Callithrix jacchus: one gene and its partners. The protein of the gene in region 2 binds, or shares a complex with, the protein of the main gene of each other region. Links are inferred from orthologs where the notes say so. Each region holds a gene or a part of one and is shown on either strand. Other genes may lie near its edges. The genes, in order: CHTOP, ALYREF, MAGOH, THOC1 and SARNP.

Region 1 (4,136 bases), on a different chromosome or scaffold from region 2:
CCACCTCAGTCTCCTGAGTAGCTGGGACCACAGATGTGCACCACCATCTCTGGCTAATTTAAAAATTTTCTGGAGAGACGGGGGTCTTGCTATGTCGCCCAGGCTTGTCTCAAACTCCTGGCTTCAAGTTATCCTCCCACCCTTGGCCTCCTAAAATGACGGGATCACAGGCATGAGCTGCTGCGCCCAGAAAAAGTGCTTAAGTTTCTATGACAATTACCTCAGATTATTAAAACTTTAAGGTGGCAGGGTGTGGTGGTTCACCATCTGTAATCCTAATACTTTAGGAGGGCAAGGCCACAGGATGGCTTGAGGCCAGGAGTTGGAGTTCAGCCTGGGTAACAAAGTGAGACCCAGACTCTATTAAGAAAATAAATAAATAAATAAATAGTGGTGCGTGGTTGCCAGCACCTGTGATCCTAGCTACTGAGGGAGGATCACTAGAGGCCAGGAGTTGGAGGCTGCAATGAGCCATGATCACACCACTGCACCCAGTTCTCACTCCGGCCCAGGTGAGAACCCATCTCTTTAAAACATACTAACAAGCAAAAAACCCAAAACAAACTTCAAGGCCCAGAAAATACCTGTGAAATTCTCAAAAATGGCAGAACCCAATCCAGCAATGAGAATGTGGAGTTTGGCTTTTTTTTTTTTTTTTTGAGACAGAGTCTTGCTCTGTCACCCAGGCTGGAGTGCAGTGGCCTGATCTGGGTTCAGTGCAACCTCTGCCTCCCGGTTCAAGGGATTCTCCTGCCTCACCTCCTGAATAGCTGGATCTACAGGTAGGTGCTACCATGCCCGGCTAATTTTATTTTTAGTAGATATGGGGTTTCTCCAGGTTGGCCAGGGTGGTCTCAAACTCCTGACCTTGCCTGATCCACCAGCCTCGGCCTCCCAAAGTGCTGGGATTACTGGCCTGAGCCACCACACCCGGCTGAGTTTGGCTTTTAATTTAGAGCAGTCATTTTCTTTTCTTTCTTTTTTTTTTTTTTTCTGAGACGGAGTTTCGCCCGTTACCCAGGCTGGACTGCAATGGCGCTATTTCGGCCCACCGTAACCTCCGCCTCCTGGGTCCAGGCAATTCTCCTGCCTCAGCCTCCCGAGTAGCTGGGATTACAGGCACACACCACCATGCCCAGCTAATTCCTTGTATTTTTAGTAGAGATGGGGTTTCACCATGTTGACTAGGATGGTCTTGGATCTCTTGACCTCGTGATCCACCCGCCTCGGCCTCCCAAAGTGCTGGGATTACAGGCTTGAGCCACTGCGCCCGGCCAGAGCAGTCATTTTCAACCTTGACTACATGACTTACCCAAAGAGGTTTTAAAAAAAAAATAGGTCCAGGTACTACGGGAGCGGTGGCTCACACCTGTAATCCTAGCCCTTTGGTGGGAGGCCGAGGTGGGTGGATCACCTGAGGTCAGGAGTTCGAGACCAGTCTGGCCAACATGGTGAACCCGTCTCTACTAAAAATACAAAAATGCTGGGCGTGGTGGCTCATGCCTGTAATCCAAGCACTTTGGAGGCCAAGGCAGGTGGATCACCTGAGGTCGGGAGTTCAAGACCAGCCTGACCAACATGGCGAAACACTGTCTTAAACGAACAAAAGAAAGCAAAAAAAAAAATTAGCCGGGCTAGCGACAGTGCCTGTGTAATCCCAGCTACTTGGGAGGCTGGGGCAGGAGAATCGCTTGAACCCGAAAGGCAGAGGTTGCAGTGAGCCGAGAGCATGCCATTGTACTCCAACCTTGGCAACAAGTGTGAAATTCCGTATCAAAAACAAACAAAAATAGGGCTGGGCAAGGTGGCTCACGCCTGTAATCTCAACACTTTGGGAGGCCAAGGAGAGAGGACTGCTTGAGCCCAGCAGTTCGAGACCAGCCTGGGCAACATGGTAAGACCTTGTTTCTATTAAAACATAAATTAAAAAAATACGAATATCTGGGCCTAGATTAAACCAGAATCTCTGGTAGTGAGGTTTGGAAATGAATAATTGTGGGGTGGGGGAAAGCTACCTAGGGGTGCTTCCAATGTGCAGCTAAAGTAGAGAAACACAGATTTACAGAGTGAAAATACAGGTATGCCTAGTTTCAAAATTGGATTTCAACTCCAGAATTAAGTAGGGTCTTTAACAAGGAACTGAGGATCTGGGGCAGTGATTAGGAAAGGTTTTCTATATTCACCTGGTAATTAGCTCGCAGAGAGCCCTCCACAATATTTAACCCTAACGCTGCCATTAATTTCCAACATTTCTCATTTAATCTCCCTACCATCCTCAAAGCCCTGTCAAGACTCCCACTTTTGCTCAACCCGCCAAATAAGTTCCCTTTTTATCCCTATCAAACCCAACCTCCCTCAATCCCGCCACCAGGTTCCAGTTCAGCCCCTCCCCCGTCCCCTCGCAGGGGCTCCGCCTCCTCCCCGGGGCCTCCACGCTCCGCCACCTGAGCCGTTTCCACGTGCCACCACCCGCTCTCCGCATCTACTGGCCCCTTCCACTCCCCAAGACTCCCTGCTCCTTCTCACTACCGAAACTCACCGAAGGAAACAGACGCCAGGGTTCCTCCCGGGGCTGCCACCACGGCTCCGGCAGGCGGGCCGGGGACCGGCCGAACCTGAATTGACGGTGGAGGGGCTCGGGTTAGCTAGATGGGCGGTTGGTTAGATGCGTAAGCTGTAGTATGCGAACTTAGTTTGTTGTTGCTGGTTGGCTGTCTAGTCGGCAAATCCGTCTGCTCACTCGGCCTGCCCTTTCCCGACTTTCGTCTGCAGCGGCCGCCAGCTCCGTCTCAGTGTCCAAAACAAAATGGCCGCCACGTCCCGTGCGTGTAGGACCGGCTAAAATGGCGTCTACGCAATTACGTCAGGAGTCAGATCTGCGCACGACTAGAGGGCGGGAAAGATTTGAGCTACGCCTGCGCAGAAATCAGAGGCGGAGCCTTATGGCGAAGGCGGGGCTTGAGCAAACGTTACTTTAGCGTTGCAAGCAGTGCTCCGTCCCCCCAGGGGCGTGGCCAGTGGTCCCGTAGTGGGGTCGTGCAGGGTTACCGTAGGCCGTTACCGTAGTGGTTGCACGGCGACTTCCTGGGGTAGTTCGTAGAGGGGATTTTAGTCCCGAGTTCCCTCGTCCCCCCGTTCCCCAGCCAAGGTACACAGTTTAAAAATCTTTACACGGGCGGAGCGCGGTGGCTCACGCCTGTAATCCCAGCACTTTGGGAAGCCGAGACGGGCGGATCACGAGGTCAAGATATCGAGGCCATCCTGGCCATGGTGAAACCCCGTCTCTATTAAAAAAAAAATAAAATAAAATCTTTACATGGACTTGCCTCATCTTCTACCGGACCACTGGGCCTGGGGAATTTGTACTGGTTTTCCCCTCATGTCCACTCGCCCAGTCTGAGAGTTGTGAAGTGCCGTAAATGCTCCGGCCAAGGCCCAGGAGGCCAGTATTGGGAGCACACTCCTCGCGGATCCTTCGCCGGCTCCACGGCCGCCCGTCCATGTTTTCCTCCTCACTTCCTCCTCTCCCCACAATACTGTTTAATCCTTCTTGTGAGGGCACCTTTGCATCTCCGATTTCTCTTCCATGTCCTCCCTCCACACCTGCCATCCGTGTTGATTTTGTTGCAGACCTACAAAGGGATTTATCTTTTCTCTCTGATTTTTTGTTGTTGTTTTGCGACGGGCTGTTCAGGCTGCAGTCAGTGGCACAATCAAGGATCACTGCAGCCTTGATCTCCTGGGCTCAGATGATCCTCCCACTTCAGCCTCCCGAGTTCTGGGATTATAGGCGTGAGCTATGTGCCCTGCTCAATAAGGAATTTTTCTTTCTTTCTTTCTTTTTCTTTTTGCAGATGGAGTCTCCGTCACCCAGACCGGAGTGCAATGGTGCAATCTCGGCTTACTGCAACCTCTGCCTCCTGAGTTCAAGCAATTCTCCTGACCTCAAATGATCTGCCCTCCTCTGTTACCTAAAGTGCTGGGATTACAGTCATGAGCCAACGCGCCCGGCCTCAGTAAAAGATTTTTTAATGGTTTTGTACACAATACAGTGTGCATACGTTTGATTAATGAGAGAATGCAACCCCGCCCCATAGGCACGTCAAGACCCTTTCATTTTTCCTTCCTGGCATTTC
Region 2 (4,073 bases):
CCTCACTCCTTCTCAGTCTAGACTAGGTGGGCTGCTTGCTGAGGTGTTGGGGTGCTCGTAGGTGGAGAGGTGTGGGTGACCTGACGAAGAAGAACCGGTACCTTTGTCTTTACGACTACAGCCCCGCACTCAGAGGTGTACTATGGCGGTTCTGAGAAGGCTTCACAGAAGTGAATCTTCCGGAAGGAGCTGAAGGAGGGGAGGGATGTAGCTTGCTGGATGGGGGTTCACAAGAGGTTGGTCCAGATGTGTGGGGCAGCATGAGAGGTGGCAGATGGAAGAGAGAGACAAAGGGGCAAATGCAAAGTGTCCTCAGCCACAGGGGTACCCCATATTCCTACCTGGACAGGTGCCAGCCCCAAACTCCACAAGCCCGACAGTCAGCGTGGGTCCCCCCGCCCACACTCACCATCCAGAGGGACACCGTTATACTGCTTCATGGCTTTCAGGGCGTCTGCCTTCCGCTCAAAGTGTACATCTGCTGTTCCTAAGCTGCGGCCAGAGCGGTCATAGTGCACAGCTGCCTTTTTCAGTGTTCCAAATTCAGCAAAGAGTTCCTGGAGTTGCAAAGAGCAGTTGTCAGAAGAGCAACAAAACTGTGCTCCTTCTGGTGGCCCAGGGACAGGCCCTGGAAGCGTGAGCTGTTTTGGGGGTGGTTCCCTGGGAGGCAGGGCAGTGGTAATGGGAAATGAGGGAAGGGCAGGGCAGGAGGGACAGCAACTTCCAAGAGCGCCTGGGTCTGAGGGCTCCTGCCATTGAGGGGACCTGACAGGTGTACCACGATGCAGGTAGAGGAAGTCGCAAAGCCCACTAGAAAGGGGCACAAAATTAAGCCACTATCCTCTTCAACAAAGGAAAATTTACAACACACCCAAGGGCTGTTCCAAGAAACTGTAAAGGCCAAGATCAAGAGCAAGGGAACTGGTCCGGTATCAGACCAGCTTGAAGGGCCTGTTGACTTGGGAACCCTGACCCCAGCCCCTCCCCCAAAGGCAGATTCTGGCTCACCTTTCCCTCTCCTCCTACTCAAGCCTGCGGCAAAGTCTGAAGTCAAGCGCTGCCATGGAAACTGCCCTGACCTCAGGCAGGCTGGGAGTTGGAGAGGGAACCCAGAGTGTGGGGATACTCCGGCCGCAGGCACACAGCGGGAAGTGGAGTTCACCAAAAGCGGTTTCCAGTGGATGCTAGAAACCACCTTAAAAAAAGTGTTGAGACACTGTGAGTGCTCACTGGCCCTGCTCTGTCCTCCCAAGGCAAATGGCTAGGCTGTGGACAACTGAACCCTGCCCAGCCATCTCCAAAACTGATTCCCAAAAAGCCACTTCTTAACCAGAAAACAACTTTAAATGCCGTTGGGATTCAATTTTTCTTTCTTTCTTTTTTTTTTTTTTTTTTTTAAAAAAAAGCTTTAATGAGTTAGAGAATCAAGTCGCTGACAGGACATGGGGGCGGGGAGTGATAAAACCACAATTTACAAGGTCTTTTTAAGACAATACTCAAGTCAAACAGAGCTAGAAAAACACACAGGCTCCCTCTGCTTTACAAGGTACATAAGGAAGATTCTTTTTGTCACATTAACCCACTAAAACAGGCACTAAATTTAAAGCACAAGTGGGCTGAGTCTAACAGCCAAGAACCACTCACATTTGATCAGTCTTTTTCTCTGTTAGAAACTGGAAGCCCTGGCAGAGGATTTTCACTCACAGAACCCATATTCAGACTAAGAGCAGCAGATCCTCAGGCTAGGCTAGGCTCGCACCTGCCTGCGGACTGACCCTGGCTTTACTGGCGCTAGGTCTGTCCTGCAGCCCTTCAGAGCTGGGAGGGCTCCCTTTGCCAAGGCGGGAAGGGGACTCAGGGCCACATCCCCCAAAATATGATCCGTCCTGTGCAGGGCGAACGGGTCACCGAGAAGCCTTAGTCTCTTACCTGAATATCGGCATCTGACACTCCAAAATCCAGATTGGACACCAGCAGTTTCCCACCCGTCTCCACGCCGGCACCACCCCCGAAGCCACTGTCGAAAAGATCGTGCTGCCACTTGTCAGGAAGCTGTTTTGGCTGAAGGAAAAACCACAACAACAGCAGACCTGTGAGTCTCAGTCCAGGGCTTTCCCAGTCCTCGCGGCGACCCCGGACCCTTCCTCTTCCCGGCCTGAGAGGATCCGGCGGAGATGAGGCCGCCAGCGCTCCCTCCGGCCGCTAAAGCAGCCCCAGGTACGAGGCCGCACGGTCCCACCGCGGCAGCACAACTTCAGTTCCCTTCCACTAACTTCCCGCCGCTGTTGCCGCGCTCAGCTACCCCTCCGCTCACGCCGCCACGAGGTCCCGGCGGCCGGAACAAAGGGTTGAAAAGGGTCTCAGCCTCCGGGCCGGGCCCGGAATGAACGACCTCGCCCCCGCCCACCACCCCCTATGCGCCCTCCCACACGCACCCTCCGGACCTCCGGGCGGCCGCTCCACCAGCCCTATCAGCCAGCCGGGCTCGGCCTTCGCCGCCAGCCTCCCCGGCTTGCCCTCTCCGGTGCGGCCGGCCTCCACACTCACCCTGCTGTAGGGCGCCGGTCGGTTCCTCCCGCCTCCGCCGGCCGCGCCGCGGGCGATGGCCGGCCGGGTCCGGATAGGCCCGCCGCCTCGATTCACTCGCGCGGCGGCCTGCGCCCCGCCGCCGCGGCCGCCTTGGGAGCCGACCCGGCCGCGGCCCCGGCCCCCGCCGCGGCCTCCTCGCTGGCTCCGGTTCAGTTTAATGATGTCGTCCAGAGACATGTCCATTTTGTCGGCCATGGCGGGCGCGGAATCGGGCATCGGCTCGAGCCCGCGCGTCAGCACGCCAGCACGTCACCTCCGGCGCCGCGTGAGGCCTTCCGGTGCTACGGCCTCGGAGCGGCTAGTGATTGGCCGCCTGCGGACCGCAGCGCGCGCGGGACGGGGAGAGACGGGGAAGCGCGTGCGCACTGCCGCGCGGGACTCGGCGGGCGCTGCTGAGGGAGCCGGGCCGTGACTGTGGTCGTTTTTATACCTTCCCGCGCGGACGTCAGCGCTGCCAACGGAAGGGCGGGCAGAGCCGTGCGTGATTAGGTTGGCGAAGGTGCGAGGCCGCAGGGGGTTGGGCGGCGGTCGTTGGGAGTGGGGCATGCGCTCCCCTCCCTCCCCGCCTGCCCCGCCCTTCTGCTAGGGCTGGGGGCGCTGCGGGCGCGGCGGGTGTCCGGGAACCTGCGGGGGTCCTTGTTTCTGCGCCCGCCCGAGGGCTGTGCGCTTGGCTCGGGGCGGGATCCTGCGGGAGTGGCCTCAGCGGGCTGCAGCCGGTGCAGACCTGCTGCGGGTTGCTTTTTGGTTTTTGAGCCGGGGTTTTTGGTCTCCACCTGCAACCTCGAAGTCTCCAATCTCACATTTGCTAGTCATATCCTTTACAAGTTTTGGTACGGGCCCGGCGCGGGGCTCACGCCTGTGCTCCAAACTTTTTGGGAGGCCGAGGCAAGAGGATCGCTTCACCCTAGGAGTTTGAGACCAGCTGGGGCAACGTAGTGAGACCCCCATATCTAAAAAAAAAAAGTCGAAAGTCGGGTGTGCCATTGCACACTTGTAATCCCAGCTGCTTGGGAGGCCGAGGTGGAAGGATTGCTTGAGCTCAGTGAGGCCAGCCGGGCAACATAGTGAGACACTGTCTCTTAAAAAAAAAAAATTAGTCGGGCCGGGCGCGATGACTCATGTCTGTAATCCCAGCACTTTGGGAGGCCGGCTTGAACCCGGGAGGCGGAGATTGCAGTGAGCCAAGAGTGCGCCCTTGTACTCTAGCCTACACGACAGAGCAAGACTCCGTCTCAAAAACAAAAGAAAAGTAAAATAGAAACGGCTTACGATGTTCCTAGGCTGGGTTCGAATTCCTGGGCTGGAGTGATCTCCTGCCTTGGCCCCTTGAGTAGCTGAGACTACACTGTGCCAGGCTTATTCCTATTTTGGTGCCTAAATCTTCTAGTTCTGCAGACTAAATTAAGCCTGTCATCCTCTTCCCTTCGGGTACAGGCTCTGCTGCCATGAAGGTGAAGATTAAGTGCTGGAATGGCGTGGCCACT
Region 3 (4,254 bases), on a different chromosome or scaffold from region 2:
TTCTCTACCTTTCAGTACTACCAGAAAGAACAAAAAAATGCAAGACAAAAAGCTGAAATGTAGCAAATGAAGGACTCTCAGAAGGCAGAAGACTCATACCTCTTTTCTGATCATGACATCATTCTTGTAATTGCTGTTGTTGGCGTATCTTAATTTCCCTGTGGGGGCAAAAAACAAATTCCATGTATAATAAAAACATATGAATAAAAGCATCAATACATACCAAGACTATCAGCAGTTCCCTAAAATGTATCTAACTTGCTCAAAGTGTCTAATAGATTTATTATTTACTCTTATGGTATATCAACAATACTAGTCTTTTTCAGTTCACTTCAGGCTTAAACAGCCAAATATACAGCTGACACTCTACTGCAAAACGCAGCTCAGGTGAGATATAAACACAAGCAGGCTCTTTTCTGACATTGTCAAATCACATTTTTGCAGGTTAATATCCTGAAAACAGGCATAGTAATTGATAACTTACCCGTACATAGGACCTCCTGAGGCTCAAATGAGTTGTGAAAACATTTTGAAAACTGTAGGATGCTGTTTACATATATTATCATGTGACTGTGCCACCCTCTATTTCTGTGATGGAAAAGCTGTTGCTTTTATCACTGAGCATATTTGGTACACCAGACCCTTTGTCCATGGGTGCATGTAATAGGTTAATGTGAGTATATGGTGGGGATGAGGGGAAGATAAAAGTAAATAGAAGACATGACTTCTCCTGCCGTAGACTAGAAGACATACATGTGAGATGAGCCAAATGAATTTATCCAACAGCCTCTGTGTTGTGTCTCTGCCTCAAGTTTCTTCACATTCAGTTCACTGTCCATACGGTGGACGCGGTGATGTGGTAACAGACCTATCAGATTGGGTTACTCTAATATTTTAATACAGTTAATGGCTTTCCACTGCCTTCCTGGTAAAATCCAAACTCCTCAACATGGCATACAGCTAAGCTGGCCCCTGCCTGCTTTTCTAGCCTCACTCCTGCAATATTCTTCTCTCACATGGCTGGAGTCAAACTATTTGGTATTCTGTCTGAAACATCCCAAGCACTTTTTGGTTTTCAGCCTCTTTGCATGTTGTCTAAAATGCCTTCTTGACTCTTGGTCTCCTAACCAATTCCTCACATCCCTTTCTCCCACATCATTTTATGTAGGAAGCCTTCTCTGACCCTCTGGCTTGGTTAGGTGCCTCTTCTCTGCTGCGAGCCTCCTCTGTTTCTTTTTACCACAACACCCAATACACTGTTTCATCACTGTTTGCTTATAAATCTATCTCCCTCACAGTCGAGGCCTGTCAGTTTCATCTTTGTGCCCCACTTAGTGGATGTTTTCTGTTATCTTTGATTCCTCTTTCCTTCACCACAGTGCCCCCTCAACAAGATCCTATCAATCAGCAAAGTCCAACTGTTTCTGCCTCCAACAGTTTCCTAAACCATCCTCTCCATTTCTACTGTTGCCGTAGTCCCAACCAATAACTTTCTTGTCTTGACAACTGCAACAGTCTCCTCCTAATCAATAGCCCTGTTTCCACTCTTGCCCTTGTGCACCCAATAACCAGAATGCTTTTTCAAGAACAGATCCCATTTCTTCTCTGTTTAAAACCTTCCAAGTCCGGCTGGGAGCAGTGGCTCACGCCTGCAATCCCAGCACTTTGGGAGGCCAAGGTGGGCGGATCATCTGAGGTCAGGAGTCCGAGACCAGCCTGGCCAACATGGTGAAACCCCATCTCTACCAAAAATACAAAATTAGCCGGGTGTGGTGGTGGGTGCCTGTAATTCCAGCTACTCGGGAGGCGGAGGCTTAGAATCTCTTGAACCCGGGAGACGGAGGTTGCAGTGAGCCAAGATAGTGCCACTGCACTCCAGACTGGGCAAAAAGAGCGAAACTCCATCTCAAAACAACAACAAACAACAACCCTTCCAAGTCCAAACAACAACAAACCTTTCAAGTCCAAAGCTTTTACCATGGTCTTTAAAGACTTACAAGGTGTGGCTCCTACCTACCTATTTGACGTCATCTCCTGCTATCTCTCACCTTATCACTCTTTAACCACACTGACCACTTGAGAGGCATGCCTAGCTCATTCCCGCCCTGCAGCCTTGACATTTGCCAATCCCTTTGGGTGGAATGGTCTTCCTCCTGAGCTTCACAAGGCTGGGTCCTTGTTGTTAAGTAGGGATCGGCTGCAATATACCCTTTACAGAGAGCTCTAATGGTCAACCTATCTAAAAGCAGCCCATCCAGCAATTATTCTACCTTTTTTTTTTTAATCACTCACTACTATCTGGAATCATCTTTTTGTTTATGATCTCTCTCCCGGCACTAAAACACAAATTCCATGAGAGGGGAAGTTTGTCTACCTTCGCTGCCGTTTCCCCAAAGAGTGGAACAGAGCCTGGCACACAGTGAGCGTAAGGTCAACACTGGTTAAATGGATTAAAAAAAAACAAAAACAAAAAAACCCTGGAGCAGACACAGGGGCGTTCCTTTCAGATTCTCGCTGCACAGGTCTCAGTCCCTTCCTCCTGTCTTTCCACACTGATTTCCGACCCTCCGCCTCCCGACTCCGGGCAGCCTGTAGCCCGCCCTTATCCCTGGTCCCCGCTCCCGGCAGGCTACAGGCTGCTTTTACCGTCTGGTCGGAACTCAAACTCCAGGAACTCGTGGCCGAACTTGCCCTTGTGCCCCACGTAGTAACGTAGATAAAAGTCACTCTCCATGGCTCGCAAAAGACAACCGAGACGGAACCTCGAAGAGAAAGCCGCACCGCCGCGGTCTGCGCCCGACACTGACGTTTGGGGCGGCGCGCGGAAGTGACGTTACCACGACGTCGCGTAGTGGAGGGTTTCACTCTTGCTAACCTCTTCGCCCGGAAGCGGCAAAAGACTGCTACACGGGTAACGAACTTTGTTTAGTCCGGAGGCTGGGCCGAGCAGCTCGGTCCCTCCAGCTGGACGCGGGAGCGAGGTTGAGATTTGACCCCTCAACCCCCTGGGTTTTCTCCAGGCCTGAGGCCGAGAGCCTACCGCTCACCAACCTCTGGGCTTTGAACGAGGAGTTCAGAGACCTCACTTAAAGACCTCGGGCCGAACACCCCGAGCCTTGCACCCGCCAGGCTCAACCTCAGTTCACAGGACTTCCGACTTGTGTGAATCGTACACCGCTCTTTACCGTCTCTGCACCTAGGTCATCTCGGCAGTAAAGTGGGGTAAAATGACCCGAGCTCCTCGGAGGACGCCGCGCACGATATGTGCCTCAAGTTGGCTTCCACTGACCTGAATGTTAAGAAAGCCGTCCTCTCTGTCTCAAAAAAAAAAAAAGAAAGTCGTCCTCAGTGACGCTCTCCCTGAATCCACAGTGGAGATTGCCATTTCCCTGGAACTAATTCACTCACACTTATCCATTGCATCCCTTTCTACCTTTTATTTCTATCTTTCTACCCCACTGGTCTCCAGAATAGGTGCTTGAGAAGTTAAAGTGAGTATTTGATCTCCCATTACTCATCCCATTTACTCAGCAGTGATTCTCAGCCTGGCTGCGCATTGCAATCACCTGGGAGCCTCTAAAAATACTGATGCCAGGGCCCCAAGCCAATTAAAATCTCCACCGCTGGGCCTGGGAATTGGTACTTTTTATAAAGCTCCCAGGTGAGTCAGAGTTGAGGACCACTGACCAAAGGGGCTCGCTCTTTTCAGGGTAAAGTGATTGTCCTCTATGAAGCCTTTCTGGCTCTGAAAAAATGTACAGTTGAGTAGGCCCAGGGCAATCAAGATCATAATTTTATAATAGGAGCCTACTTTCATTCATCTAAGTTCCAGCTTAGAACGAATGGTTCTAGAGACAGTGCCTAGATGACATCATTCTTGGGACCTGGCAACTAGAACTGGGGACAGGAATCAGACAGGACCGCAGTCTTGATTCCTGTCCCCAGTCTTAACATTGAGTCCTTTTCTCCCTGAAAAAGCATTAGAAGCAGAGTGTAGAGTAGGTGTGGTGGGGGAAAATCACTGGAGATGGGTTAAAATAATCGCTTGTGTAACAGTGACTCATTGTAACTATAGGTGAACTGACTCAACTTTTTAGACTTCAGTTTCCTTCTCTTTAAATGAGCGTAATAATGTACACCTAGCAGAACTGTTATAAGAAACAATTTCAAAATTGCTATAAAACCATAAGGCATTTTTATTACAAAACACTGGATATGGGTAGTAACAAGGGAATTGTATAAAAGAGAAGGGGA
Region 4 (3,512 bases), on a different chromosome or scaffold from region 2:
TAATTTTCTGAAATATACTTATTTTACACCCTTTATCTTATGATTTTATTATCTAAAGTGGCCAACTTCTGTTGCTTGTTCTGTCTGCCAATTCTTGCTCATGGTGGACTGTTTCCCTGAGAGTTTTTAAAGTTTGGATGGTGAATTTATCTTTGGGTTTTATTTTTTTTAATAACCTTGTGAATATAACTTTAGATATTTATCTGTGGGAATCTTGTTTAGTTTGGGTTGAAGATTGGACCTTCAGAAAGATTTTTATTGCCAGCATGGGACTTTCTAGCTCACTATCTTAGCTTGAGGTAGGATTTTTCCTACTGCTGGTAGGAAAAATTTAAACTGTTAACACTGCCTGAGAGCAGACTTATGGTTACAATTTCTCAGGGAATACTTTCCCTGTCACCTACACCTTGGTAAAGGCAGATAAGCTTCCTTGTTTCCTGTGCCAGTGAGCGTGCCCCCACCCTGCCCTTCTTTTACAGATGTGTAGTGCTTCAAAAATTTCAGCTTTGTTCAGGGGAAAACTTGCTCACAAATTTGTGCAGGCCTAAGGCCTTTCTGTCCTTTCTGTGATTATTAAAACCCAAGTTCCCTGGTTCTCAAAGCTTGGAATCATTAGTGTTGCTCCCACAGAACCGTATCAGTTCATAGGCTTACTCTTCTATTTGTTTTGATTCCTTTTGTGAATCTTTATTTTTTTGTATTTCTAAAATTATTTTATCAGAACTTCTAGGTGTTTTATGGTGGGAAGCTATATTCTACTGTGCCAAAGTCAACCACAAAAAACTTAAATTTTGTTTGAGCTCTTTTCATAGCTGAGAAAAGGTTCCATTCTACTCAGCACTTGACAAAAGCAACACTTCATGTGAAAAATGTTCAACTTGCCTTGTTTCTGATTTGCAGGCTTCCATATTATCAGGACAAAGATTCCAAAGCCTTGTTAACTCCTCACTACAAAACAGATACACAAATAAATACATTTTTTATGGACACCATCCTCATGTGCCTTGAAACTGAATAGAAAAACAATACAATGCAAACAACAGATTTGGGATGTTGATAGTATGAGTTTTACTTTTCTCAATGATTTCTGGTATTTACAATACCTAAAATTATTCTCTATATAAGCATATTATTATCTATTATAATTCTGACTAATAATGATATAATCTTTAGGTTGTTTCCTAAAAATATTCAAGCATAATATAAAGCAATGAATTTGAATTTTAACTGGAAGGTAAGAGAACTCAAGGATTATGATATCTTGCAGCAACTAGAAGTGAGCTGCATCAGTCTAAACAATTCTACTGTCTGTGAAATGGAAAAAAGTGGCATAGCCATTTGATGTTAAGAGATGGAGAATTCTTACAGTAACATCTTTAAAATACAAAAATAAGAACATCCCACATAAAGGCAAGTTCACCTACTTTCCCATCAGAATTTTTTTGCTGGGTCCTTTCCCTAGGAAATCCTCGGGTGCTGTTCTCTTCCGAATTATTCTCGTAGGTTTGGTATCTGATGTTCTGTGGTGAACAAAACATACACTATTTTTTGAATTACAAATGGATAGCAGAAATAGAAGAATGTTTAATGTAAAAGAAAATTTAGTTATTGTTTTCCTCCTAAAAAAGATGAAAACTGGCTGGGCACAGTGGCTTACACCTATAATCCCAGCACTTTGGAAGGCTGAGGTGGGTGGATCACCTGAGTTCAGGAGTTCAAGACCAGCCTAGACAACATGTAAAACCCTGTCTCTACTAAAAATACAAAAATCAGCTAGCCATGGTGGTGCATGCCTGCAATCCCAGCTACTCATGAGGCTGAGGCATGAGAATTGCTTGAACCTGGGAAGTGGAGGTTACAGTGAGCCAAGATCGCACCACTGCACTCCAGCCTGGGTGACAGAGCGAGATTCCCATCTCAAAACAAAAGATGAAAACTTCATGTTTCTGATAGAACAATTATCAGAAATAAGACAAAAATGCCACATTATAGGGCAAATTACACAGAATATATATACAGTCTTCTCAATAATTTATATAGATGTTTGCTCTAGGAACTTAATGACAAGAAGTTTTTGAGGTTAAAAAAAATACAAACAGAGGTACATCAAAGTGATTGTACTCTTACAGAGTTCAACTTACATTTTTTATATGAAATATATATACATATCTTTACATGCTATAATCATATCAAAGCATACTTTGAAAAGCCTTTCTTATATATAGTTCTTGTGATGAGTATGTATTTACCTTTCTTTCACAAAACTTGGGCAACCTTCATTTTTCCATGAGTTCCAGTTTTCTTCAGTGTTTAATATATGCTGGGAAAAACAAATTCTATTTTGGTTAATGGAATCCTCTGAAATTCTCTTTCGTGCTAAAAAGAGGATGTAAACATAAAAATCACATACCTCTACCATCTTTGAAAATCTTTCTCCATCGGGGGGGTTTTCAGATAGTAGCTGTGATTAGAAAGAATATACTAAGCTTTCAACAACTTTCTGCATCATAGGAGTGGTTTGTAGGCAGAGAACCAAGGAGTGTTTGTGGTCTTGTACCTGAGCTTAACTTTATCCTTATTTTCCTATTTGGGGCTGAAACAAAGAAAATTCTAAATTTCCATTTTTTCAATCATGGGTTTGTTGCGTGTTGAACTTACTTGATAAACTGATTTTGTAGTATCTTCAATCCAAAGTGATTGTTCATCAGTTAAAACATAGTTTGAACTAGGGAACAAAGCAATGAAAGCATGCTTGAGTTAGAGCAATGCATATTCAATTTTAAGGTTTAAAAAACAGAAGGCATGTAACATGTAATATGCTGTGGATAGTGTCAAACATTACCAAGATAAACATAGTCACAAATGAGAGGATTATAAGAGAAAATTCTTGCATTTATTCCTCAAGAAGTTGGTACTGAAAACATAAAAGCATGTGCAGGAGAATAAAACATTCAATTAATCCATCAGATTAGCTATGAACAGAGCAATAAATGTTTCCTAAAATAAGCTGAATGTGAAATGAAAACCTCTGATTTGATATTAAGATATTTGTATACATAATGCACATTCAGTCTGGCATGCTACATTCCTTTAAGATACATTCAAAATACAACAAATAAAAACACCCAAACCCTAGGAAAGGTAACAGGCAAACCCATATTGTTACCAGCTGCCATTAATTGAGAACTCATTATGCACTAGTGATTTAAAGCCATCCTATAAATATTGATAGCTGGGATCTGAACACTTTACATGCATTATTCACTGAATTCTCAGAACAAATACAAGTACGTATTAAACAGACTATGGTGGCTCAATGATTTGCTCAAGGCCATAAAGCTTTAATTCAAACCTAGGTCTGACTCCAAAGTCCTTGATCTTTCTACTATGCCACACCAAACATCCAAAATAGATAGGATAAGAAATAACATTTTTTGAGTGTTTACCATGTGCTAGTACCTTAAAATTACAAGTGTGAAAGAGCTGTACTACAGCCAGCAAATGATAAGCCT
Region 5 (3,512 bases), on a different chromosome or scaffold from region 2:
AAAGAAGTATTTGACAGGCTGGGCATGGCAGCTCACACCTGTAATCCCAGCACTTTGGGAAGCCAAGGCAGGTGGATCGATTTGAGCTCAGGAGTTCAAGACCAGCCTGGGAAACATGGTGAAACCCCATCTCTACAAAAATTACAAAAGAGCCAGGTGTGGTGGCTTGTGCCTATAGTCCCAGCTACTTGGAAGACTGAGGCTGGAGAACTACTTGAGCCAGGAAATGGAGACTGCAGTTAGCCAAGATTGTGCCACCATACTCTAGCCTGGGCAAGAGAGTGAGACCCTGTCTCAAAAAATAAATAAAGGAATATTTGACAAAAAGATATCAAAATGTTAAATGTTACATCCTCTGTGATGCAGCAAATCCACTGCTAGGAATTTACCCTATGGTTATACTTGTGTGTATAAATAATTATAAAAAGACATGCAGAACTACATTTTTTTTTTTTTTGGCTTTTATGAATACCCTAAATGTCCATCAACAGGAGACTGGTGAAATAAATTACTGTTTACCCACAGAATGGAATACTATTAAATGCTAGAAACAACAAGGTTCTAAGTTGATAGCTAGTAAATCTGGGTTATTGGTAGATGAGAGTCTATTATACTAGTCTCATAACTTTTGTATATACTTGTAATTTCCCATAATAACAAGCTAAACAAAAGAGACCACTTCCTAGGATAATTATCCTGACTTCATAGGGTCTACCGAGGATTAAAAGAAACTATTTACATTCAGAACGATGCCTAGCATATAACACTTAAATAAGAAAATTATGATATAAAAAATTTCCAGACATGAAAAAAAAAATCAAGGAACAGTGTGCATAGTGTGTGTATACATGTATAAAATATTTCAAAAAGAATGTACTGTTCTAAAAACCTCAGTAAAGTCAAATGAGAATGAATACAAAGAGTACTTAATTTTCAATTGATATACTCCTCTAGGTACTGATTTTTTTTTTTTTTTGAGACGCAGTTTCGCTCTTTTTACCCAGGCTGGAGCGCAATGGCGCGATCTCGGCTCATCGCAACCTCCGCCTCCTGGGTTCAGGCAATTCTGCCTCAGGCTCCTGAGTCACTGGGATTACAGGCACGCACCACCATGCCCAGCTAATTTTTTGTATTTTTAGTAGAGACGGGGTTTCACCATGTTGACCAGGATGGTGTCAATCTCTTGACCTCATGATCCACTCACCTTGGCCTCCCAAAGTGCTGGGATTACAGGCATGAGCCACCACGCCCGGCCCGGTACTGATTTTTTGCTTGTAAACATATTGCCTTTTGGCTGGGCATGGTGGCTCATGCCTATAATCACAGCACTCTGGGAGGCCAAGGTGGGCGATCACAAGGTCAAGAGATTGAGACCATCCTGGTCAACATGGTGAAACACTGTCTCTACTAAAAAATATAAAAATTAGCTGGGCGTGGTGATGAGCACCTGTAGTCCCAGCTACTCGGGAGGCTGACACAGGAGAATCACTTGAACCCAGGAGGCGGAGGTTGCAGTGAGCTGAGATCATGCCATTATACTCCAGCCTGGCGACAGAGCGAGACTCCTTCTCAAAAAGTAAAATTATGTGTGTGTGTGTGTAGCCTTTTATAATTAAATGCATTAACACAGCTATGAAGAACAAAAATGCTAAAAGGGACTCAACTGTTGTTAATGTGCTATAGTACAAAATGGCCAGAGAGTTGTGGAAAAAGCCCCAAATTAAAGATGTTTAGGATCACCTTTGTGGGATAATTTAAACAAATCAAGATCTACTTTCCACTCTAGTACTTTGTCTTCCCCTCCTCCACTATAAATCAGAAAGCAAGACAGAACAGAGTGTTACTTGAGAAACGTAACCTCTATCCAACACCCTCCTCCCTTACAAAACTCCTTATATACAGTTCTACTTTTTTTTTTTTTTCAGACAGAATCTTGCTCTGTCGCCCAGGTTGGAGTGTACTGGCATAATCTCAGCTCATTGCAACCGACAGCTCCAGGTTCAAGCAATTCTACTGCTTCAGACTCCAGAGTAGCTGGTGTTACAGGTTGCCACCACCATGCCCAGCTGATTTTTGTATTTTTAGTAAAGATGGGGTTTCATCGTCTTGGCCAGGCTAATCTTGAACTCCTGACCTCATGATCCATTCGCCTCGGCCTCCCAAAATGCTGGGATTACAGGCATGAGCCACTGTGCCTGGCCTCAGTTTTATAGTTTTACAGAAAACTGCAAAACTCTTAAGAGTTAACAGAATGGGCCAGGCACGGTGGCTCATGCCTATAATCCCAGCACTTTGGTAGGCCAAGGCAGGTGGATCATTGGAAGTCAGGAGTTCAAGACTAGCCTGGCCAATGTGGTGAAACCCCATCTCTACTAAAAATACAAAAATTGCTGGGACCAGGGTCCGGTGCAGAGTGCCACTTGTCCTGGAAGGATAAGAAAAAGAAAGAAAACTACAAAAATTAGAAGGGCAGTAGTGGCGCATGCCTGTAATCCCAGCTATTTGGGAGGCTGAGGCAGGATAATTGTTTGAGCCTGGGAAGCAGAGGTTGCAGTGAGCCGAGACTACGCCACTGCACTCCAGTCTGGGAGACACAGTAAGACCCTGTCTCAAAAAAAAAGAAAAAAAAAAGAGTTAACAGAGTTTACAGTTTTACACTGTATAGAGAACTGTGCAGATTCTCTATAGAGTAACAAAATAATCTATTATGGTGACCCTACAAAAGAAAAACAAAGGCTAGGAGAATTAAACTATGTCTGGTTTTGAAGTCGCTTGGTCCTAATTACCTATTATATAACTCGGAGAAAATTTGCTTTGCTTCACTGGGACCAAGTACTTTGAAGTAGCCCCTTCTTGAAAAAAAAAAACCAAAAAGATCTAACCAGAAATGAAAAGGCCAATGGGAACATCTAAGAGGTAAACAGAGTTAAACATTAAACACAATTTAAAAAAAGAGCTGCCTGCTCTGTACTCAGATTATAAAAAAGGGATAATTACACATCAACAGTTTTTTCAGGGGGTTCTTCCTCTTTGACAGGGAGCTCTATAGGCTTTGTTTCTTCTTCCTAAAACCAAATGAAACAAGGTGGTTAACATAAATCTAAAGAATAAATATCTATCAACAGAAGAACACCAGAACTTTAAAATAAACCAGTCTCTCAGAACCTTCATACCCATTTTATGCTCCCTTAATAAATTTACATCGAAGTTCTCCAGTAACTGATGTTAAAGCAATGTGGCCAAGGCAGTTGCGCATTACCAGACCAGAGACTAACCTTACTCTATCCAACTCACCTCTGTTTCATCTCCCAGTACATCTTCTTCATTTGCCTCCTCTTCAGCTAAAGAATATTAAAATATTCAGGTCAAGCCCTGCTACAAAACCATCTTGATCACTTACCAAGGTTAAAATTATAATCACTTTGTTTTCCCCCAAAAAATCCAATAATGAAGGCAGAAACTGATGCACATAAAATCTGCTACATCTGGAGAAGATAAAACCAGATCTCTAC

Evidence for each region.
Region 1: ALYREF (region 2) and CHTOP share a complex: the UniProt entries of both Homo sapiens proteins name them as parts of the transcription/export (TREX) complex. The link is inferred for Callithrix jacchus from reciprocal best matches to the Homo sapiens genes ALYREF and CHTOP.
Region 3: ALYREF (region 2) and MAGOH share a complex: the UniProt entries of both Homo sapiens proteins name them as parts of the ALYREF/THOC4-EJC-RNA complex. The link is inferred for Callithrix jacchus from reciprocal best matches to the Homo sapiens genes ALYREF and MAGOH.
Region 4: ALYREF (region 2) and THOC1 share a complex: the UniProt entries of both Homo sapiens proteins name them as parts of the transcription/export (TREX) complex. The link is inferred for Callithrix jacchus from reciprocal best matches to the Homo sapiens genes ALYREF and THOC1.
Region 5: ALYREF (region 2) and SARNP share a complex: the UniProt entries of both Homo sapiens proteins name them as parts of the transcription/export (TREX) complex. The link is inferred for Callithrix jacchus from reciprocal best matches to the Homo sapiens genes ALYREF and SARNP.

The regions. Positions count from the first base shown.
Region 1 is NC_133519.1:14,052,237-14,056,372, reverse strand, and holds the start of CHTOP (chromatin target of PRMT1 protein), read right to left. Parts: upstream 2,804-4,136; 5' UTR 2,540-2,803; intron 1-2,539. UniProt on the Homo sapiens protein: Plays an important role in the ligand-dependent activation of estrogen receptor target genes. May play a role in the silencing of fetal globin genes.
Region 2 is NC_133506.1:137,488,174-137,492,246, forward strand, and holds the start of ALYREF (THO complex subunit 4), read right to left. Parts: upstream 2,812-4,073; 5' UTR 2,806-2,811; coding exon 2,548-2,805; intron 2,062-2,547; coding exon 1,930-2,061; intron 558-1,929; coding exon 410-557; intron 1-409. Other genes in the region: anaphase-promoting complex subunit 11, read left to right, coding at 4,035-4,073. UniProt on the Homo sapiens protein: Functions as an mRNA export adapter; component of the transcription/export (TREX) complex which is thought to couple mRNA transcription, processing and nuclear export, and specifically associates with spliced mRNA and not with unspliced pre-mRNA.
Region 3 is NC_133508.1:90,378,531-90,382,784, forward strand, and holds the start of MAGOH (protein mago nashi homolog), read right to left. Parts: upstream 2,805-4,254; 5' UTR 2,735-2,804; coding exon 2,647-2,734; intron 159-2,646; coding exon 100-158; intron 1-99. UniProt on the Homo sapiens protein: Required for pre-mRNA splicing as component of the spliceosome. Plays a redundant role with MAGOHB as core component of the exon junction complex (EJC) and in the nonsense-mediated decay (NMD) pathway.
Region 4 is NC_133514.1:63,805,715-63,809,226, reverse strand, and holds part of THOC1 (THO complex subunit 1), read right to left. Parts: intron 2,726-3,512; coding exon 2,659-2,725; intron 2,462-2,658; coding exon 2,411-2,461; intron 2,321-2,410; coding exon 2,250-2,320; intron 1,542-2,249; coding exon 1,425-1,541; intron 949-1,424; coding exon 883-948; intron 1-882. UniProt on the Homo sapiens protein: Component of the THO subcomplex of the TREX complex which is thought to couple mRNA transcription, processing and nuclear export, and which specifically associates with spliced mRNA and not with unspliced pre-mRNA.
Region 5 is NC_133510.1:63,852,587-63,856,098, reverse strand, and holds part of SARNP (SAP domain-containing ribonucleoprotein), read right to left. Parts: intron 3,342-3,512; coding exon 3,295-3,341; intron 3,066-3,294; coding exon 2,998-3,065; intron 1-2,997. UniProt on the Homo sapiens protein: Binds both single-stranded and double-stranded DNA with higher affinity for the single-stranded form. Specifically binds to scaffold/matrix attachment region DNA. Also binds single-stranded RNA. Enhances RNA unwinding activity of DDX39A.